Lepisosteus oculatus: one gene and its partners. The protein of the gene in region 3 purifies or fractionates together with the protein of the main gene of each other region. This does not show direct contact. Links are inferred from orthologs where the notes say so. Each region holds a gene or a part of one and is shown on either strand. Other genes may lie near its edges.

Evidence for each region.
Region 1: the proteins of kpna1 (region 3) and rnmt purify together in Homo sapiens (co-immunoprecipitation; 4 studies listed by BioGRID and IntAct, counting the BioPlex papers as one, with this or other methods). This does not show direct contact. The link is inferred for Lepisosteus oculatus from reciprocal best matches to the Homo sapiens genes KPNA1 and RNMT.
Region 2: the proteins of kpna1 (region 3) and arid2 purify together in Homo sapiens (co-immunoprecipitation; 3 studies listed by BioGRID and IntAct, with this or other methods). This does not show direct contact. The link is inferred for Lepisosteus oculatus from reciprocal best matches to the Homo sapiens genes KPNA1 and ARID2.

What each region holds. Positions count from the first base shown.
Region 1 is NC_090705.1:9,533,010-9,540,666, reverse strand, and holds the start of rnmt (mRNA cap guanine-N7 methyltransferase), read right to left. Parts: upstream 3,090-7,657; 5' UTR 3,023-3,089; exon of another isoform or gene 3,019-3,022; intron 2,967-3,018; exon of another isoform or gene 2,751-2,966; intron 899-2,750; 5' UTR 786-898; coding exon 552-785; intron 1-551. Other genes in the region: fam210aa (uncharacterized protein C18orf19 homolog A), read left to right, coding at 5,972-6,390, 7,594-7,657. UniProt on the Homo sapiens protein: Catalytic subunit of the mRNA-capping methyltransferase RNMT:RAMAC complex that methylates the N7 position of the added guanosine to the 5'-cap structure of mRNAs. Binds RNA containing 5'-terminal GpppC.
Region 2 is NC_090702.1:29,026,244-29,034,265, forward strand, and holds the start of arid2 (AT-rich interactive domain-containing protein 2), read right to left. Parts: upstream 3,090-8,022; 5' UTR 2,637-3,089; coding exon 2,545-2,636; intron 2,421-2,544; coding exon 2,327-2,420; intron 1,516-2,326; coding exon 1,418-1,515; intron 1-1,417. UniProt on the Homo sapiens protein: Involved in transcriptional activation and repression of select genes by chromatin remodeling (alteration of DNA-nucleosome topology). Required for the stability of the SWI/SNF chromatin remodeling complex SWI/SNF-B (PBAF).
Region 3 is NC_090700.1:4,265,924-4,273,651, forward strand, and holds the start of kpna1 (importin subunit alpha-5), read right to left. Parts: upstream 3,076-7,728; 5' UTR 2,883-3,075; intron 1,076-2,882; 5' UTR 1,068-1,075; coding exon 942-1,067; intron 1-941. UniProt on the Homo sapiens protein: Functions in nuclear protein import as an adapter protein for nuclear receptor KPNB1. Binds specifically and directly to substrates containing either a simple or bipartite NLS motif.

The DNA of each region.
Region 1 (7,657 bases), on a different chromosome or scaffold from region 3:
CCTTCCAGCTCAATTAGGCCTTTTCAATATGCTCCTATAGGCACACGTCAGGGGTGCACATGGCTAGCGCCATTTCTCCCCAGACACTTCCTCCTACTCAGTCAAATCAACGTTTTTGTGGCCGTACAGGGTAAGACAGCTGAAAACGATTTCAAGATGCATTTTCTAACCGCTTCTTCCAATTCAGGGTCTCGGAGGAGAAGGAGCCTCTCCCGGCAGGCTAAGGGCACAAGGCGGGGTACACCCTGGGCAGGATGCCAGTCCTTCACAGGGTCCACTCCCACCAGGGCCCATTCCCCCAGAAGCCAATTAACCTACCAGCAGGTCCGAGGACTGTGGGAGGAAACCCACGCCAAGATGGAGAGAGCACACAAGCACACAGGGTGCAAGGCAGCAATGCTAACCACTGCGCCACCTGAAAACAAAATCAGGACCTTTCGCTTAGAAGATGAAACTTTCTTCGATTAGGTTGTTTTTGAGCTGTGCACGGAGCGTACAGACCTACGAGACTCTCCTCTTAGTGATTAAGCAGCATATTTAAGGTTTCTTACCAGCTTCTTGGCTAGAGGCTCATCCTCCGACTCCCGTTTCCTCTTCCTTGGGGACTGCTGGTCCGATCTGGCACCCTCTCCTTTCCCACAGATGCCAGAACTAATGCAGGCGACGCCATTTCCATCTCCCTCCGTGTGCCTTTCTGTAGCCGCGCTGTTTAAATCCTTGCGGTCCTCCGGTTGGAAAACGCCTCCATCCGAAGAGCATTCCTCCTTCTGAGCCGCACCTTCCATGGCTACTCCTGAGCACCGATTCTCCACGCAGCTTTTCTTCTTTTCCTTCAAATTTACTACTAGAGATGTGTCGACTGTCGAATCAAATCCTCACTCCTCCTTCGCTATGTTTTCTGTGAAAACAAGGCGAAATCTGTAAACACGAGTGCATCCAAACACCAACAGAGACCTTTACAGTTTCTTAGGTAAACTTCTTCTTCATTGCACCTCTTTGACTCTACAGTGAACGGTGAAATCGATGCACATACTGAAAAACCTCAGAAATGCAAGCGCCCCAGAATTAAAAAAAAAAATCATGTTTGGTTTACTCAATAATTTCCAATAGGCTCTCGAATGGTTTAAAATATGTAATTTGATCCGGAAGGTCCTTGATGTTACAGGCTAGAGTGACCCTTGCCATATGGGGACGTGCGTTATCTTGTTAAAACATTAAGGAATTCCTCTGGCATTGCTGCAACAACAGCTGGTGCACTGGTCGCAGAGTGAGGCAAACAAAACAGTGTCCAAGCAAGATTACAGCATCGCCAAGCCAACTCCTAAACCTGGCGCTGACTGACCCCGATACCAGCAAAACAGCGCTGAAATTGCAGTGTCGCCTTCGTACATGCACTCTACCGTTACCAAACGACAAGGAACCCCAAACCATTCTTTGTCAATATCCAGGAGTTAGTTGAATAAATAACAGTCATGTGATGATACCAGAGTGGAAGGGGGTTGGGAGAGACTGGAGACTACAGTGTGGTTAATGGGTCTCACACAATGCCAGTAAATTCTTCAGTGTGCAGAAGCCATGGCAGAACCCAAAGCAGATACTAAAGTGTTAGTTACGGAGTTCTATTGGATGGATGGATCCTGTATGTGGCAGTTTAGCGATACACGAAGTCCAGGAGAGCTACCATGTCTTCATTACACCCTTGACTCCTAATGACCGTTCACTCAGGTTCCGTTTCCACGCCTTTACTTGTTGATGAATAAACGCCATTCCGAGTAAAATCGATTCATGCCGATACCAGAGACGCAGGGCGTATTGCAGACTATACTTTGAATATAATGTGAATAATTTAGATAAAATGTATTTTTATATATTTTATGGTCCTTTAAAGGAAACAGTGTTCGCTAGAATTTAGCTATACATGTCGTTCTCTGGGTATATGATTTGTAGCATTATTTACCATAATTGTTTTTTTTTATTATGAAACGATTTTAAATATTGTAGTTGTGGTTGTTTTCTGTTGAAAAGGGCAATGTAGCGGTGTCCTGCCCAACAGGCGAAATGCGCCACCACATGTACAAGCGGTCAACAGCAGGATTAATCCTAGATTAATGACCGGCGTCACCTGTAAACCGGACAGGCTGAGGTGAAATGAAAAGCGCCCAGTTTTATTTCGGATTTAGCGGGTGTTTCGCGTTTCTTCACTGGGAAACAAAATCGGCCAAAGCCAAAAGGACCGTAACATGGCAAAACACCGCACCCGAGAAACAAGAACCACTCCATGAAATTCGTGAGAGAGCCAAGCGGACAGGTTCACGCTGCCCCTCCCCCATCCTCAAACGTAGCTTGTTTCCCCACTCCGGCTCCATGGAAAACTTTCCTTTTTGCTCCCGAATATACGTCTTTAAAACAGGTTTTTTTCCCCCATTTCACGTGCAGATATTCTACTCCAACAGATAACACACGTTTAGCGCTGCGTCGTTAATTCTCAACCGTGATAAACGTGGGGCGCGTACGAAGTTCTTCAGTATATACCATCAACTCAGTATCACACACCGGCTTCAAGACGTCCTGAAATCATTCAATAACCCACTCCGAGCACAACACGTAACAAAAACATCTAAAGAGAACATGCATCAAGCTACGGACTAAACCAAAACAATACATTCATAGGGATTAGACTGCAAACTGCGACACACATTTCGTTACTAGTCGTTTAACAAATCGAGCCGCGGTTTGTCTAACGATCTTACGTGGGTTTTTTTTTTCAAACGTCTAAATCCAAGATTATAGCTGATAGCAGATTTTCGAAGATGCCCAGGAACACGAACGAAGCATTACAACACAGTTGTTTACATTACACTCAAAATTATCCGAGGCTAATTCCGAGCTAATCTAACTAGGGAAAGAACCAGTTCTGTTGAAACATTAGCAAACGCGCAATTAAAAATACTGAAAAAGATATTTAATTTCTGTAAATAATAATATCCGCACTATTAACATTGCACCGTCGCACCATACCTACTTTGTTACGGCATGCTACTTCCGCTCCTAAGCATGCTGGGAAAGCAGTAGATCCTGTTTCCTTATTTGAGAAAATCTCCGCCCTCTCGCCGGTGCTGGACCTTGTAGTTTTAATGATGAAAGTAGAGGATAGTGCCACACTAGTTTTGAGGCTTCGTTGCACTACATTTCCCAGAGTCCCGCGCGTGTTTCCCACCATGCGGGGAGGCATGCCATCTAGCTGGTGTGTTCTGAATGACAGAGCGGGCATGTCTGTCTTTCGGTTCAAACTTTAGTTGGGATTTCACCACATCATGCTGGACCTAGTTCTAAACGTACGTACTCTGAACATTTAATAGAACTGCGTTTTAAATCGAAAAACCCCGTGTGTTTTTTACTTATTTGCTGTGGAGTTTTTGCCGACATATATTTGGCAGGTGTTCAGAATGGGGCCTTAACTGCTTCTAAAGCTGGACTTGACTGTGAGGGCGAAGGCTTAGAAATCACCAGTCACGTACAAATCTTCAAGCCAGGGCTTGTCAATGCCAATTGTCTCGAGAGGCCTTTTTAATTAGGTGAACAGAAACGTAGGCATCACAAATGAAACCAATATACAGTGTAAGAAACCAGGCATTTAGAAGTTTAATCGCTGAACGTTTGTTTTCTTTTCCTGTGAACAATGATAATTTCACTCTTGGACATCCCGAAATGCAAGAATCTCTGCGTAGCCAGAATATACTGTATGGTTTAAAAGAGTGATACGATTTTTTTAATCAAAATTGATATATCCGGCCTTGATATATTCGGCTTCGCAGATGTTTTTTTAACCAAAATATTTTTGTATTTCAGCTCAGGTAATAAAACGGTTGAATCAATCATTCTTTTAAGGTAAGACTGCTTTTTAAGTTTTTTTTCTTAGTACACTTAGTTTTTTGGACTACTACAACCTAAAGGGATCTCCTCTCTAGTTGATGATTGTTTTATGACAAATTACAACGTGAAAGTTACTTTCTTAATCATTCTTGTTCATAGGACTGACAAAAAAAATCACCTATCGATTTGTCAGACTGTGAATCAAAATCTGTGAATGTAAAGGTTCTTGAAAATTGTGTTGGTCACAATTATTTAATTCCTGTGTGGAATGCAAGACACCAAATTCAGAAATTAATTATAATGCAGGTTTATATGATGAAACTAAGGATATATATATATAGTATGTGAAAAAAGAAGTGGTTTCATGGAGGATTTTTAACATTAAGATTGGGAAAAACCAATAGGAATGTCAGTTTAGGAATCTAGTAGATAACTGCGTCAGAGGACCTCCAGGAGTAAATACTTGTATTGATGTAGTCTCTTCTGACAAGATGGAGTAAGAAAAACAGAAACATCAGGGAACTGCTGTCTTAGTATTGATGTTTTCGAATAGGTCTTCAAACTGCGCAGGTGAGTCAACACAAACATTTGCAAGTTCAGAAAAGCAGACAATAAAGGAATGAGACAGTACATAAGTAGAAAGGGAAAATCTACATATAGATCTTCTAGAAAGTGTATGGCAAAGGTTTATATGTATTCTGCTTGTAACACAGAACAGATTCAGTTCACGAGTAAACAAATCAGAGTCAGGAAAACAGTGGCCCAGAATGCTGAATAAGTAAATTAAGAAGAATATAAGGAGAAATGAAGCACTTCATAAAGTGTTAAAAAAAAAGTTATAAAACTAATTAAATGCATTCTTGAGATAAAAAGGATATTAGACCATGAGAAAGATAGTAAGGAATTTTGCAAAGGAGACTAAAATAAATATTAAGTTTTTTCCAGTATTGCAACAACAAAAAAACACAAAGAAATGATTTGTCTAGGGGATAAAAATGGGAATGATTTCAAATGATGACAAGAACATTACTATTCAGAGAACTCAGGGCTGGTCAAAAGCCTGACTGATACATTTAACACAGATATAGGGTTTTGCCTTTGGGTAGCAAAAATATAAATTCCAAATATAAAATGTAATACGGGAAACCGCAGTTTGAATAGGCTGGCTTTGAGAAAGATTATCATAATTTTCATCTTCTAGACAGCTTTGGGAGAAGTGATCAAATGTGAGGATACATTGTTAAAAACGTAACTTTATAAATCAAGAAATGTTATGTTACAATATTGCATTGCAGCAAGACCTCATGATACAAAATATTGCTCTGGAATCATGCAAGTACAACAAAAAAAATAATATGGAGTAAGGATAATAAGATTAGCAAAACCTGTCTGCACTGTGCTACACAAAAGGATTGTAGTAAGAATTAGAACACAAATACTGTGGACGGATTTTTAGTTGTATAATCTAAAAGCCACATCTTCATAACAGTAGAACTTACAGTTAACAGAAGTTCAGTGGGATATCAAGAGTAATGGAAAAGATGTGGCACAGGAAACATCGAGCTGAAAGTTCACACGTAACGGATCTGTAAAATCGATCTACCCCCAGAATAGTTAAATTGTCTATTCCTGGGATAATAGCAATTATACGGTGTAAAGCATTAAGGCCAGAACTTAATTTTCAGGCTACATTCTATTTCAATGAAGGTAAAGGAAGCAGTTTCGACATTAAAATGCAAATAGGTGTTTGTAAACATTATTGCACAACAAATACAAAGCATTAATTAGTATAACTTACAAGAAAGCAGTTTGTCGCATCTGATAATGCATCTCAAGTGGGTACATTACCACGATCGTGTTTGATTAAAAGAAATATTTTTGTTCGGTCCCAAGTTCAGTAACTTAACAAGAGTTAAGTCCGCTTTCCTGGAAGGCGGGAATGTACGTCGCCCGATTCAAATGAAGACAGATCTTTTAAAAACATGTATTTAGGTTGATATGCGCTGATGCTGATCGCAGGGATTTGTCAGACCCCGCTGGAGTAAATGCGTTTTCTTGTTCTTTGTAATCTGCTCCCAGACGGTACTGGAGCCTGGAGATGCAGCGGCTTCTGTTACAGACTGTTCTCCGGCAGGTGCACGCGGCACGCCCTCTCCTTCTGTGCCCGACTCCAGGCCCAGCGGGCGGTGTCCCACCCGGAGGTCCCTGCAAGGGGTGGCTGTCTCCCTCCCGGCGATGGGTGAGCGCGTCCTCCGCACGGACGGCCGCGGAGCCGCGCAAGGCCGGCATCAACGACGAGCCCCCGCCGGTGTCTCCACAAGGGGCCCTGGGCGCCACGGGCAGTGATCCGCCACCCGGCGCAGCCCCTGAGACAGAGGCGGACCCCCTTCAGGACACATCCAGCGGCCTCTACCAGAGGTTTAAGAAGACCTTCAAGCAGTACGGAAAAGTCATGATTCCCGTGCATCTTGTGACGTCTACAGTGTGGTTCGGCTCATTCTACTATGCTGCCATGAAGTAAGTGGAGAGCTTTGAGCTTCAGACCTGTGTGGAAAGTGGCTTCCACTTTGTTAAGGGTCTTCACAAAGAGCTGTTCGCTCTGCAACCCGAGTTTAACGAGGAAACAACCATTTATTGCCTGGGAAGCTCCATTGATAATGCCAGGCAAAAATAATTTAAAGGTATTTGTGCTATGGTGAGGCATTGTCAGTATTTCACTCAGTAAACTACAGGAATACAGGACCTACTTTTGAGTTTCCCACAGATCCTGAGACAAGATCTCCAATAAGATGCACATGGGGGCTTCAAATAGTGATGTCCTGCACAAATGGGGTGCCTGCTGGTGAAAAGACAAGCTTACGAACATACCTTGTAGTTAAAAGAGTGTCGGTGGGCTGTAAGTGCTAAGTTGGTCACTGTCCTATTTAAAAAAATAAGTGTTCATTCCCCAGCTGAAACTTTTCTGTTAGCCCTCCAATACCCACTTAAAGAAGAAGGTTGGAAATAAAGACAAAGATCTACCTCCTGAAATAATATTTTGAATGTATCCTCTAGTTTGTCCAGGGGTTCTGGATGGAGCCCTCTCTCGTTGATGTGCTGTAGGGTTTCCTCCGGATTTGCCCTGTCATGTTGTTCTTTAGCTGTGAAGACCACAGACCCAGTTTCAGCTTGAATACATTCACCGCACTCATCTTGTGCGACAGTCTCTCCCTCCCCTGCAGTCTGCAATTTGGCTTGTTTGTTTTTACCATTGTGTGCGCCGGCCTACCACCCATGCATCATCTGACATCTCACTGTACGACTCCTTTCTTGATTTGAAAAAGGCGACAGTGATCAGACATCAGATCTAAAGGTCTCCGGAGGACCTTCTCTCAATTTAATCACCTCCCATTTGCATGAAGGTTGATTTGAGCATAGCTAGCATCAAGCTCATTGTGTAATGATGTGATCGAGTGATGCAGCGGAGCTTTTGCACAAACTGATCTTGACGATCGTGACCAGTGTCGTCACATGGGAACAGTCAATACACTAAGCCAATTGTAAGTCAATTGCTTGGTCAAAGGATAACTGGTAACTGACAAAGGCGGGGAATTCAGGATCATTTCCGCGGTGTGCCGTCATCCTGCATTGACAGCTAGCATTGCCTGGGCCCCATCAGAAGTGGTTGATGACGGTAGTTGAATTTGGAGAAGAAACAACTGTGTTCAATGTGTTCTTCAGGGGAGTGAACTTGGTTCCCTTTCTGGAGTTTGTCGGATTGCCCGAAAGGCTCGTAAGCATGCTG
Region 2 (8,022 bases), on a different chromosome or scaffold from region 3:
CAGAAGAACCACTAACATGTGCCATCTCTGTGTTTCAACAAATTAACGGTGGGCACGACCGAGTGCTGTTTGATAGCTGTGCATGGATAAGTCATAACACCACTTCTAATGTTCTGGCTGTTAATCTTATGCACTGGTATTTACTACAAGCACTGTGCAAACGCATGAACACATGGTCATTCTGTGCCACTGCAACTCAACTAAACCCAGAACAAGCTGGGTGAAAAATGCAGGCAAGACATTTTGGAGGGAAAATCTGTCAGAGCCAACATATGCAGCACACTCTAAAGCTCGGGGGCTGGCTGTGAGTGATGGAATGAAACAGGGTTTTAAGGACAACTCCAATCAATAGGGCTCGTCTGCATACTATCAAGTTCGTATTGCATATGTTGTACAGAAGCTAGTTTCATGAAGGCACAAGTCTCCTTTTCACAACAAGTCAAGGTTAACATTCTTGCATTTACAGATATTAGTGCTTGCTTCGTTGACTATAGCAGAAAACCCAAAACATATATTGTCCCCCTTATGACCTACACCAAGTATAAGCCAATACCTCTAAAATTGACAGCAAAACAGTGCAGCTGAAAAAAAGCCATAAACCTCAACACTAACGCCATATATAAGACCTACATTGATATTTTTACATATCTGCTTCAGAAATCTAAGATAATCAAGGAGCTTACGCATCTTATAGTAAAAAGAATAAACTCATTGAAAATGAAAACTACCTTTCACTTGTTTCACAGTAGGGTAAGTCAACTCCTGATACATTCACTTGAGCTCTAATAATGTAGCCTTCTCACCCAGCAAAGTTTTGTCTTCTGTGCACCCCCAAAATAAAGAGTTAAAATGTTTCTATATTGTTTTCTTTTACATTTTATGACACATGTCCAATAAAAGCACCATCAAGCCCTAGTTTGTCAAAATAAACGGTTAAAGCAGTGAAAATTGGTTAAAAAAAACTTGTGTCCTTCAAAATGGGGACTTGCAAAATAAAACATAGATGTAAAAGTGAGCAAGATTTAAAGAAGAATTTTCCTGCTGCAGAACCCACAGAACTCATGCATGACTATATTTGTGAAACCTTCTAAGGAGTTCAAGACATAAGTGCACTTGTTCAAGATGTAAGCAATCTGAAAATGACAGGAGCCCCAAGTGCTAAGCAACGTTGCATCTGTAGATGTAATGCCTAGCAGATATCCCAAATCTCTCAAATGTGGCATTTCTTCAAATGGGATATTGTATACACACGTGGCTTCCCAAGGCAGTCAACTTAAAACAAACAGGGTCACAAAAGTCTCGGGTTATCTCTTGGTCATTCCCTCCAACAGGAATCAAATCCTGTAAACATACACCGCATGCATCTGTTTTAAATAAGGCTACATTTCACAGAATATTTCAAGAAAGAAGAACTTACCGAAGGTAATACTGTTTTAAAACAAAAGCAGCGTTGGAGCAACTCCTTGGAAAATTAAAGTCCTCGACAAGTTCAGACCACTGATTCTTGTCAGAAACCTACAATAAAAAGTCAGTGTTTTAATTAAATTCACTTCAACAAGCACGCTTTGAGTATCTAAAAGCCCCACAATAACGTCAATAACAAAACTTTTGAGTATCCAAACACCGCAGTGTTACAATATTAATTGTCAGCAAGCTATCCAATGTATTTTGTTTACAATTTTGTATTATTTTCCCATATGAAACAATGGACCTCCCCCTCCCCCCGTTACTCTGAAATGTCAACTAAAAAGCGGTCCAGACTCTCGGTGACACTTCGAGACCGCTCTGATGCGATCGATACCTCCAATAACGGTCTGTCATGATTTTGGGACGTTTTTACATTTCTATGGGTATTCAATAAATATAGGCCTGTCTGAGGCCTACATTTTGTTTTCAGCCATGAAGCCTAAGATGGCTATGGCTCATGGCTGGCTTCTTTGTGATTTTTCTGCTTAAAATCGAGGCAGGAGAGCCGTTCCCCGCGGCGAGGAGCATTTCCTAGCCCATGCTCTGTGCCGATTATCGATGTTAAACATGCCCGCTAATTTTGAGTTGCACTAAAACTGCACTCAGACTCCGAGCAAGCGGAGCAGCTGAGAGACTGACTCTCAATGCAAACCCAGCACTCTCGCACAGACACACAACACAGCACTACACTCACAGGACCAGCGCAAGGCCATCGTCAAACCCGTCTTTACCACCGCCGATTCAGAGCCAGCCAAACACCTTGCAGGAGCCCAGCCGCTTCTCCACGAGTTTCCTAGCGGACCCGGGCAGTTATATCGTGAGCTGAGAGTGGGAAATGCGAATATAAACTTCCACTCACCTTAGCAAATCCACCTAAAGTAGTGACTCGGGTGTACAGAGCATTAAGATCCAGCTCTTTCCCACCCACGATTGGGATCTTCTTAAACGGTGAGCTACAAGGGAAAAGCGTGAAATTAATACAGGATTGCCTTTCCGCGAGCCCCCGGCTATGTTTATTTGTCGTTAAACGTGTTTTTAAAGTTATATTTTTAGGTTTAAAAGCCGCCCCCTTCTCACCCTCTGCTTTGGTGAAACTGCCGCAGCTCGTCCAGGAAAGCCAGTCCTTTCCTTCGCTGATCAGGTTGATTTTTCCCCGTCGAATTTGCCATTTTAAAAATATTAAAAAACAGTTAAAACCCCACTCATTCGCTTCCTAAGATACCAAGGATCCCATACTCCGCCGGCGCTCAGTCATTGACGAGAAAGCTGAGTGTTTTAAAAAGTTAAAGAAATAAGAGCGAGAAGAGTGATAATAATGTGTATGCACACAGAGAAAACAAGACCCGATTTAGCCTACTATAACTTCCACCAAGCAATCCGAATTACGACCGATTCTGACGGCAAACTAAAATTGACATTGTTCTGTATAGTAAATGAATTGTTTTGGTTGCTATTGTGTTCGTTTTGGAGTGGTTTGACAGTGTGTTACAGACGCGGCTCCATGCAATCTCACACACACTGTATAAGCGGCAGCGGGATCCAGTTCTCAGACAAAAAGATCCTGAGGCCGAGAGCTCCGAGCGTCGCGCAGCGCCCTCTAGCAGCCAGCTCGGCACTGCACTACCCTGAGCGGTTACCAGAACAATAGACAGTGTTTTCTGCTTAGGGCTCATCGGAAACTTCCTAAACCCGTTAAAACAGAAGGCCGTGTTAAATGTTGGTGGGGGATGGGACGCCTTTCTTTTTTTTTTCTCCTCCATGAAACTTGCTACAGGTAGTTATAAAAAAACCTTGAATCGACATTCTTAAGTCAGCATCAGCCAAAAATAACATATTGAGTACTCTGCGGACTCCACATTACACATTTCACTGAAATCTGTTCGTTTTTGCTCAGCTTTCATTTTCTGGTTATCTGCATAGAAGTTGAACAGTGACATACTAATACACCTTGTAACCAGTGCAAATTAGGAGTCCTTGGTTAATGTTCATATTAATATTAAATGAAGTGCATGAAAATAGATAATTCAATTGAGAACAATAATGATCATTTGTAAGTAGCGTAACCATCTAACTTGTAATAACTATACACTTAAACAGAAAAATAAATTATTTTTGGTAATTGTACTACTAGATGTTTATCAAGACATGGGGGACTTGTTAAAAGAAGCATGAAGAGAATCATGTTTTACAAAAAAAAACACTTTATTATTTAATAATAAGTCTAGTTAAATTTTAATTGAGATCGAAGTTTCACACTAATGGCCTATATGCAACACTATTATTGAATTATACTACTAATAATAGTTATATTAGGTGATTGTCTAGTTTATAAATGCTCTATGAATTATTACTATATTCATACTATTTCAGTGAATAATAGAAGGTCAGGATATTCCGAAACTGTTACAGTGCAGTCATTTTCTAATGCGTGCGTTGATTATTGCTGAAGACAGATCAAATTAATAAGCTTAAAATTGGCAAACCAAAGTGCTCCTGTTCCTAATGTCACCCCCGCGAAATTCCTCGACAGAGCAATACAGTAGTAGTATTAGTAGTAGTAGTAGTTTGAAAGGTGTCTTACGTCACTGTACCTCAGTTATAACAATTTCACCCTGGAGCTGGAGCGCAATTGTCCAGATGTTAAATCATGTACACTCTGAAGTGATCAATGCGAATTACTTAAAGGGTATTAAAGTCGTATATTAAACTCCACTATCCACTACTAAGCTATCTTAAGTTCATTTTTGAATAGTGTTCATTTTAAATCTCACGTAAATTTCGACAAAAACTAAAAATAAATGCTATAACAAGGCAGCACAGAGAAGATCTTGTGTGAACTGTGTGAATCAATGACTTAAGCAGAGCAGCACTCTATCATCATCATCTATATCATTATTGTCATCTGTCAGATGTCATTTCAAAGTGTGCAATGTTTATTATGCTGCTGTAGGATTCAGAATTGTTGTTGTTCTACACAGAGTATCAGTATTCGTATTCTGCACATAATAGGAAATCTCCCATGAACTCAGCACTGACAGCACTGAAGCTATACGTTTGATTAAAACGGCGAATCTGTAGTTTCCCATATTCAGTGTTTACATCTGCGAAGTGGTGCTTTTCGGCAAGGGATCTCCCTGATAGCCCTTCTTGCCGCCGTGAACGGCCCTTAACCACAGCACTGCCTCACAGAACAACCAAGCTTCGTGACGGAAGGGGGCGATCAGACTAGGCTGCTCCTGCGCAGCCGGCCTGCAGCAGAGCTGGACTTGGTACTGTTGGGTTTTCATTTCTTACAGCCGTGGGGACAGAGACGCAGTGTACATGTTCAAGCGACGGCAGGTTAAAGTGTACCACAAGCACCCTTTGTGATATTTCGTCTTTCCTCGCATTTTGCTATAGACAAGGCTACGTTGTCTTATTTTTTTTTTGTAATGTCGGTAAAGCACATCCCTTAAAATAACCACGGTCTCATGAAGCCGGATTTCAGCGAGTCTTGGAAAGCTGTTTCAGAAAAAAAAACAACAGGACAGTAACGGAGGTATTTAGTATGCTTGCGTTAACTTCATGAGGACGCTGGGGGAGGATCTGTCTGTGCTGGGAAAATCGAAAATTGCTCACGATCCCTTTTCATAACTGCCAGACGCATATCTGCGAGAGGGGGTCACCGTATTCAACCATTACACGTACCCCTATCGCTCCGGCACTTTCACAAAATGGCGGAACCCGGCGTCTGACAGACCCCATTTTGTTGGGAGATGTCAGGAGAAGTATACACACGCACCTCTGTATAGAAAATAGGTCCACGTTATAGTCTTGTCGGTTTGTAAATGGTTATAACCGAAAGCTAAGAAACTAATTTAACAGGAGCACGTGGTGTGCTGTAGCGTATTCTTAGACTGTTTCTTTTTAGCTTTTTCGAGGACGCACACGAAACTCGCATGTGCTAAAATGTTACCAGTGAATAGTACTTTGTTGTTACCGACTCAAATTTTGCATATTTAACCGAGGTAATGGGGATAATTTCTAGTTCATCTTGTTGTATTGTTCTGAACACGTGCTTCCGGTTTAGTGAAGCCCCGAAACATAAGTAGTCGGCAGGATTTGAGTATGTTTCTTCACAGGCGGTTGGTTAGAGATTTCACGGAAATATTTAAACGGTTTCTTAACTGCTTTAGTTTTAATTTACTCTAGTGCACAATTACATTATCTTAATTACACAAAATAACATTTTGATCTGACCATTATACATATTTAAAGCAGATGTGTAATTTTAAATTAATTTATTCGCATTATATATAAATATATTCCGAAGAAACAACAGATAATTATTTTATTGTTTAAAATATATCGGCTGGGTCTGTACATGTTTATCTCAGAATGTTGAAACTGAATTGAGGAAATTGAGCAAAATTTGAAACAACGGGTGACCCAGTGCTCCACCCTGTGGGAGGAAAAGGCATATGTTTCCCTTACCCTAAAACCTTAATATTCTTGGCTTTATCACATATTACGTTTGACAAAGAAGTATAAAATAGTGGACTTGAAAACATGTGTAAATTAACTGGCTCTTAAGGGAAACATATATATATATATTTTATAAGTGTAACTGTTAATTTGTCATCGTAACTAAATGTACCTCTAGCCTTTCACTTTCATTTGTTTTCATGCATAAGCAATTTTTAAGAGTACAAAATACAACATTTTCTCAAATTACTGATAAAAAATTGATACTTGTAACTGAAATTAATTTACACAAATACTACGTCATGCATTTAATCAGTTTGAAATGAAAAACTACAACACACCAACATTTCACTATATGAAAATAAAATGAAATAAAACTTGGATTATGTTGCATTTGCCTACCTTTGTTACTTTCCAGTGCTTCATATCTGTTGTATATCTTAAACTAAGTGACTAAAGTGGAATCTCCACATTTTGAATTAACATAAATCAGAATTGATATATAGATGTTCTCAGAAGTGAAGTTTCTTCAACAGATTTCTTTTTACAACTGAGAGCATAATTCCTGACATTCACTTGAACAGGCAATCAGGCAAATAACCTGTATACAAATAGGTCATGTCATTAATCTGGATTAATGTTCATGTTAATCTGGAAACAAGTTATTGTTTTCTAAAGTGATCCTTTTGCAACTTTTGATATATTAATTTAACATGCAATTATTCTTGAGCATTTTACAATTTGTAATATATGTTTTCTATTTATTATACCATATATCATTAAATGTTTTGTTGTTTTTATATGTTTGTGCCTTGTATTTTGTTAGTTGTGTCCTGCCCAGGGATAACAAATGTAAATGAGCTTTTTAGCTAACTATGGTACAGCTTAAGAGCATTGCAATTGTTCAATAAACTAAACAAGAAAAATCAGGAAGCTAATGAAGTAGCAATAATCAGATTTTTAGGAAGTCATTGTAAATTGGTAATGTAAAAAATAGTGTTAGAATGCTGGACTCACATTTCTCTACAAATCATGATATATTTGCATTACAGGGGTTAGGTCAACATTTTTGATTAGTTAATTTTCAGGTCCTTGAATGCTGAAGAATACCTTCAGCCTCAGAACTATAAAAAAATAAGCTGTACCCACCTGACTGTTGCAGCTGCAGGCCAGGTTTGTCGCCAACAAATTAGTTTATAGCTCCCTCTACAGGGTAGATGCAGTTCAGTTTATTTATGAAAGCGATACAGATTAGGAGAGTATACAGCACTGCTGTGACTGTTCTCAATGAAGACTATACCAGAAATATTCTACTATTTTATAAACACGAAACTATAAAAAAGTAATATTGTTTTCTCAACATAGAGATGTTTTTTTTAAAGTAAATCTTCAAACACAATTATACCAGTGGTATAGTTTGCAGCAGCCAAACAGATAGTTTCATAGTATTTATTATTTAACTTATAATAATAGAATAGTTGGCCAATAATATTCCAGTCATATTAAAATGTTCTATTATTAGAACTGCTTAACTAATTGTCTGTTATTCACACATATTCTATTGTTGCACCTACAGTACAAGCGCGAAGTTAGATCAAGAATTACAACTATGTATCTGCTCACTAAGTAGATAATTAACTGGTCAAGTAGTAATTGGTCTAATTACTGCCTGCATTCCGACAATTAAAACATGGCCTCAGCGTGAATACAGTGAGATGTGTAAAATATTAAATCGTTTAAAGCAGGACAGGCGAATCAATGTATTCTATTTATATAGTAACCGATTTCTAAAATTATTTTTAAAACTTTCAGAATTGTTCTAGTATTTTTAAAAATCCCACTCAGGTTAGAGCACCAAATTTTGCCTCCCTAGTGAAGAGCAGACGACAGCTCACTGGAGAGCTTACAAGTACATATTATCCCAAACGCTTGCAAACATTTTGTAGACCAGTGTCTTGATTTCGTAACTATGTCAGATACAAGGTGACAAACTGCCCTGTGCCCCCGGTTTCTGCCTGAATTTAGTGGGAGTGGAACATTTGTTTCACTGTGGCATTTCTTGATCTCAGAGATGTTTAGCTCCACTAGTGG
Region 3 (7,728 bases):
AGCACCAGTACTGACCACACACACCAGTCCAGCACCAGTACTGACCACACAGCAGCACTGACCACACACACCAGTCCAGCACCAACCACACAGCAGCACTGACCACACACACCAGTCCAGCACCAACCACACAGCAGCACTGACTACACACACCAGTCCAGCACCAGTACTGACCACACACACCAGTCCAGCACCAGTACTGACCACACAGCAGCACTGACCACACACACCAGTCCAGCACCAACCACACAGCAGCACTGACTACACACACCAGTCCAGCACCAGTACTGACCACACACACCAGCCCAGCACCAGTACTGACCACACACACCAGCCCAGCACCAGTACTGACCACACACCATCACAGCACCAGTTACTGACCACACGCATCAGCCCAGCACCACTACTGACCACATACCAGCACTGACCACACACACCAGCCCAGCACCATTACTGACCACATACCAGCACTGACCACACACACCAGCCCAGCACCAGCACTGTCCACACACCATCACAGCACCAGTTACTGACCACACACATCAGCCCAGCACCACTACTGACCACCCACACCAGCCCAGCACCAGTACTGACCACACACACCAGCCCAGCACCAGTACTGACCACATACCAGCACTGACCACACACACCAGTCCAGCACCAAACAGCCACTGATATTCTGCATGCGGTTTTCTACAAGGGGCCATATCCAACCGCAAGAACAGAGTAACTATGCTTGCAGGCTTCTAGTGAACAGCTGCTAATTCAGATTTGTCCCTGAAGAACAGAAGAGGAGGCTCTTTACCCCATCTAGCCCAGTGGGCTAACCTAACTGCAGCAGGTTACAGGCTATAACTGACAGCCCCTGAGAGTAAACCGAAGGCAGCGCTGAGCTGCGCATTTTTCGGGTGGCCCCCCGCAGCCCCCGGTTACAGGCCCACCTGTTCGTCTTTCTTCTGTTTCCGGAGCTGCAGGCCTTCCTCCTCCCTCCTCCTCCTCATCTCCTCGGGGTTCAGGGACTTGTTCTTGTAGCTCTTCAGCCGCACGTTGTCCCTTCCCGAGCTCATCCTGGCGTCTGCACACAGACAGGGGCCCAGAGGTTAGTCCCTGCTTCTCTGGCGGGGCAGCCCAGAGGGAAAGAGAGAGACGCGCAGGGATATCCCATCATCCCAGCTCCTGCAAGCCCCCGCAGAGTGGCCGCTTGTCCTGGCTGGAGCTAACGACTGCAGAGAGGGCAAGGGTCACAGCCGGGGTTCGGGCTGGGATCGTTAGTGCCTTGGACCCATCTAGCCCCTCTGGCGGTAGCTGAAGGACCCGAGGACCTCGTGCAGCTGTTTCTAGGAAGAAACCAGGGTACTGTCTTCAACAGCATGGTCAACAGCTGCTTGTTCCCCACTCCCACCACCCTGCGGTGTAAAGAAGCCCCTCCTGTTCTCGGTGTTAAATGCTCAGAAGGGGAAACACTGCTGGTCCTGCACTCCTGGAGCGCCAGGTTTCAGAAAACAAATGTAAAAAGCCACGTGCTTCTAGTCACAGTGGAAGGCCTCCCCTTCACCGCTGAGCACCAGCAGGCTCACCAGCAAATCGAACCCCCTGGTCTCAGACCTGCCTGGGAGCTGTCTGAGACTCCTCCCGATGTGCCCGAAAAACACAAGCGGACTCTTTGCCAGCAGTCTACCAGCGGGTAGAGTAAACAGCCTTACCCAGTGACCCGCCCTGACAGTGTTTACAGTGGATCTGTTAACGCTTCTGCTTATAACATACCCCAGCACTGATTAGTATTACCGGAGCTAACTGGGACTTTTAATTTTAAGGGGACTTTAAGTGAGCATTTATGAACGTGCAGGTGGACGGCGGCCTTCAACGCCAAGGGCTCATCTGATTATCACGACGTGTGACGACGGATCTCTGACGTCACGGGGTTCTACCCTGGGTGCGAACGCGCTCGCGAGACCCCCCCCCCGGGGTCTCCCCGACCTTCTCCTGCCGCTCGCTGTCAGCCGATATCACAGGAGCTCGTATCAGCCGAGAGGTTCGTGTCACCTCCAGTGTTTTGCCACACCTCTGCCACCGGAACACGGCGTCTTCGGCCTGCGCGCTGGGGAGAACGAGCTGCATCACGACACACTGGGAAACCTACACGCACTGGGACGCACAGCCCAGCCCAGCAACTGAAAGATACTGAAGGCTTTGCAGCAGATTGGTGGCTTGAGATGAGTTGTTGTTGTTGTTGTTGTTTTCCATGACTGGAACAGAAAGGGACACCCCATATAATGACAGCATGTGTCAGGAGGTTGTTTCTCGGAGAGAGAGAGAGAAAAACAACCCGGCCAGTTTTGTAGGTCATTTCCTTAAACCCCCCCAATTGCTACACACTGGGGGACTGCTGCGCTCCGGCCGCCGGAGCAGGCGGTGAGTTCAGAGACCGGCTGAAATGTCACCCCCAACACCTGGTAGCGCTCCAGGGGTACAGCCAGCCACCCCCCGGTACATGACATGCGAGAACAGAAATCCGGCTGGAGCAACAAGCACCGGACTTTCTCCGCTAAATGCGATACGGCCGATTCCGTCGGTGCAGATGTAACACCGGCGAACGAAGTGCCAGTGCCGCCGAGCCCGGCCAGCGTTGGTCCGGATAAAACGTGCCAGCGGCGTGTCTGAGGTCTTTACTATGACCGGCAAAACGGCGGATGACGGCAGTGCACCGAGGTTTTGTAACTGTACCCGTAACTGTGCAGATCTGATATATTATACAGTCGTGCACTGCGAATGGCCCACTTTCAGAAAACACGGGGCGAGTGTGTCTCGGAGAAACCAAAAGCAAACGCTGACCTTATCCTAACGTGGACTCCACCGTGTCATAACACAATAGTCATACTTACATGGATGTCTCGACGTGTTTTTCGTTTCAAATACTGTGTGATCCGGCTACGGTTCGGAAAGTCCGCACTCCAAATCTACCTTCTCTCCTCTTTACCCACCCCCGTCGATGACCTGACTCAGGCGCTTCGGCTTTTTGTAAAAAAAAAAAATTTTCTCCCTAAAATTCAACGTCCTGCCAGGCCGCTTCCAGCTACCGGTGTGCCAGTGCGCATGCTCGCCCAGCCTACTTCCTCCTTCTCCCCCCCCCCCCCTCCACCGTGTCTGCTGGCGCGCATGCGTACGACACACAGCCCCCACCCCAGTGAGGTTTCCACGCCTGCGGAGTGCGACCCAGACTAAGCTCTTCATTGAGTGTGGCTGCCCGGTGTACCTCCTCCAAAGCCGGACGTTTTACAATGCGTAGGCGCCATCGCAGCATGATAGCTACAGAGTATTACAGAACGCAAGATTATTTCACGGCATCTCTGCATTTCTCATTTACCTGAATTCCTGCTGGAGGTCAGTGAATGAGGCATGTATTTGGTCATCTTCCTGTTTCTCTGACCTTCCCTGGTTTGACACCCAGGAGAATTTAGCCCTCTGCCTCCTGCATCAACTTCAGCAAAATAGCAAAAATAGTTAATAAGAACCTATTTTGCTCTTATTTATTCTACCTGACGTAGGTTCAGTGGAGGCAACCCAGAAATGATCTAATAAAGAGGCACGCACACACACCGCTACATCTCGACTGCAAATAAACACCTGGAAAATTCTCTCCACTCCGACGCCTGGATCGCCACGTTCTGTCCCAGGATGAGCTCTATCACCAGGCGGCCTGAGCAGACCCTGTCCGAGGAGGGAAGCAGGATTGTGGATCGTCGCTGTTTCTGTCATAAACACACCGAGGAAGTAACACTACAGATTGTTTTAATAACACGGTTTCAGTTTTAATGTGTATTTTCCATAGACACATCTTTAACAGCTGTAATTTCCTACCCTGGTAACCTCAAATTAACCACTATTGGTGGTGAAGGCACCGAAGAGTAGGCACCATACCTTCAGCAAGGGGGGGCAGGAAGGAAACTTACAGGGGCGGAGCGGTGGCTCTGTGTCTGTGGCTGGAAGGTTGCTGGTTCATATCCCACGACTGGCAGAGGAATCCTACTCCGTTGGGCCCCTGAGCAAGGCCCTTAACCCCAACTGCTCCAGGGGCGCCGTATAAATGGCTGACCCTGCGCTCTGACCCCCAGCTTCTCTCCCTGTCTGTGTGTCTCATGGAGAGCAAGCTGGGGTCTGCAAAAAGACACATTCCTAATGCAAGAAATTGTATATGGCTAATAAAGTGATCTTATCTGATCTCACAGGCAGGGCTCATTGATGTCCTTGATTTGTTTTTAAAAACATCCAAACAAATACAGCGCTTAAAAAAGATCCTTGTGAGTTAGGTTGTGAGAATGCAGTCCTCATCAGCTGCATTCTCAAAAGCATTGAACTCTGTATCTGGCTTGAAGATTGACTTTTTGCCTGGCATGCAAAGTTAAGAGTACTGATGTCCTTTAAGCGGGTAGAGGATGCACTTGTGTGAACTGAGCACAGAAACCGCTGGGATGCTTGGCTTGTTAAAAGGTTCACTGCTGTCCCCACCTCTGCTTTGTAGAAAACTGCTGCAGGTGCAAAGGCAGAATGATAGTGATGAGGATTTTGCACAGTGATCATGATAAGTGAATGACAGTGAGAAAGGGTTTGCGCAGTGATTGTGATAAGTGAGTGATAGTAATGAGGGATTTGCACAGTGATAGTGTTAGAGGCTGGTTGTGCAGAAATACAACCCATACACACAATGTTCTGTTTTGTGCTGCTAGAACTCTGACTTAACCAGGTTAGTGAGTTCAGAAAGCGCTAATGAATTATGCAGAATGTTGCCTTTTCTGGAATCCTGGGGAAATTGTAGGGTGCTTAGAACTAATCTGATGCTGTAGATGGAAGCAAGCCTTCATTTCTCTGTGCCTTCAAACCCGGGGTCTGTAATTTTAGTCTTTGCTGCTGGGAAGCCTGGGAGGGACACAGGAGAGGTGAGAATGTATAAATACGCAGACAGAAGGGGGAAAGGGAGAGAGGAGAGAGAGCAAGAGACTGACAACCATACAGAGAGCTCGGTCTGTCACCTGGGCACAATGAGAAGACTGGTTCTGTTGCTCCTGGTGATTGCTCTGCTGCTCTGGGATGCAGGTAGGACACTGCAGTTGGCAGACCAGGCTGAGGTCGCCTGAGCTGAGTGATTCGTCTGTTTATAGTTAGTGGGCAGATTAGACGCATTTTAAAAGCCCAGTCCCTTCTTTCAAATAATTAAACTGAATAAGCACAGTCATAGCAGAATCCTTCATTAGAACATTAGCAAAAAATAAAGCTAATTTTTTTTGTTTGCTTGGGTGTTTCTCAACATTTGCATTTTTATACAAAAAGTTGTATTCTATATTCTGGTCGCTTGCAGATTAGAATGGTGTATGTTTTGCAATAATATTATTTATGGTACCTGAAAGTTTCAGGTTGTTGCACAACGCTAAGGTATGCGTATACGTAATCTGACAACTGGAATCAATTTCCTGTCGTAAAACTCTGTTTTTTTTTATTTTTTATTAACCATTGAGTGTGTGTGTACTGCAGTTAGCATGTAGTGCATTTTTCCTCATGAGAGTGCATTTAGTTAGTGCACGCACTGAGGCACTGATAAAGGACTCCCCTCTCCCACCTGCATCACCCTCTCTCTCCAGAGGCAAAGCGCAAAGGAAGCAGCCGACACAAGTCAAAGAGCAAGACAAAGGTATCAAAGGCCGTCAAGGAAATTGCAAGAGCACTAGGTGAGCTCTAAGCATTTTGTTTCACAGGTTTCCCATATTCTGTAGGTCTCCTTCAATTATCCATAGCACAAGACTTTGAAAAGAGTTAGCTAACATGAGGCATAATTGGTCCAGTTTAACTCTCCTGCAACAGGTCTGAAGCTGCTGATGTGGTTTAAGAATCCTAAAAGTAAAAAAACGCTGGAGTGTGACATTCCAGGACCAGATCTGGAGACACCCTTTCTGGGTCGAGACAACGCTTTCTGATATGGGTACAGTTTCTCCTGCATCCTGGCTCAAGCATCTGACGGTTTATATCAGATATATTCCCTGTTTCTTCTAGACATCCACAGGGAATTATGGTTTTCACCATGCCAGAGATCTTAATGACCTAGATTACTTAATTATTGAATTAATTTATCTAAATTACACCGTTGCCAGCTCTTTGGTCACAGAAGATTGCGAGTTTTTGCTTTCTGTCTGTTTAATTTATTCAAAGAGATTTGTCTCCAGACAACAGTATGTGTGAGTATACAGGTGCAGACATACTTAGACATTTAATATTCTCATTTATGCTTTTCTCTAATGTGAACTTGACTGGTCAGAGGAAAATAAAAAAGAGCAAATCGTGCTCTAGCAATACTCTGTGAAAATACCTGACAGACGTGTTTATTCTTGAGCAGTTGTCCCTCTCCATGATCCACACACTGTCATTATACTAATTACGATCATTAGGAGCCCTCTCCAGTAAGAGCAGGATACTCCTTGCGTTCCACAGCCCTGTAAACACCTCTCTGTCACTCAGGGCTACTCCTCCCCAGCACAGTGACACGTGGAGAGAGTCCTGAACAGGACGCAGTCTCATCCAGCCATTTCTTAAAGAAGCCAGCTTGTTGCCATGAGAATTATGTCATGTAAATCATCTAACAATTGGTATTCCCTTTCCAGATCCACAGGGTGTTTTGAATCCCACTAATAAAAACGACAAAACCAAAGACCTGGGTAAGTTGGGTCGATCTGACAGGACCCTTTCCTTACTTTCCACTGGTCTTTGCCTTCCACTGAGTGTCACATGAAACAAAATACCCTGTAGGATAAGTGGAACAAAAGAAGCATCTAATGAGAGTTTAGAGGCAAAATGGTTGCATATTTCTAAAAAAGAGCATTGTTCAGGACTTCTTTAGGAAAGATCCAGCATAACACCTTTCGGAAGCCTACATTTCCTGTAAAAATTGTATACTGTATGTGTGAATATGAGCTGTCCATAACAGGTCAGAAGCAAAGCAACCTCAAAGAGTGTTGTCAGTCTGAGTGCAGCGTCTACAAGCAGATCGCCATTAACCTAATGTGAAGCCTTGTTAATTCAGTGTCATTACCTGTGGGTGCTAATTTCCTTTTTCAGAACATTGTCACTGGCTCTAATGCTTTTCTAGAAAATTATAAGTTCTATTATGAACTACTGATCTTTAAAATATCTATTTTTTCTTTTAGCTAAAATTGCTGAAGAAACCATTGTAAATGAGCAAGTCCGCTGTAAGTACAGATAAAACTAAATATGTTCAGAAATCATAATCATTCATTACCAACATTTCTGACTCAGTTTTTACTTCTCTTCCTGTCTAGTTACGACCCAATGTAAGTCCAGCCTTTTTACTTCTTATTTTTAAAATGTCTTTTTAGAAATAAGTGTTTGTTGCACTTAATTCATTAATTCATACACATGGTGATGCTTTGATCTTTTCTGCAGTTACCAGCTGGCTTCATAAAGCTGTGGATGTTGGTAAGAGATTTATTCTGAAACACTTTGTATCAGCTTATGTATGATGAGTGTATCTGCACAGAGATCACTAGATATCGCGCAGTGTGCCAGAGAAGAGATAGATTATGTGAGAACTGATCAGTTACCAGAGTCAGGAATCACTCAGTCTTCTGGCAACTGTCCACCCTGAGACCTGATTCATTAAACTGAATCTGTTTATTTTAATTGTTATTAGTCAACTGATTCTAGTCAAAACCATCAATTCGTCCA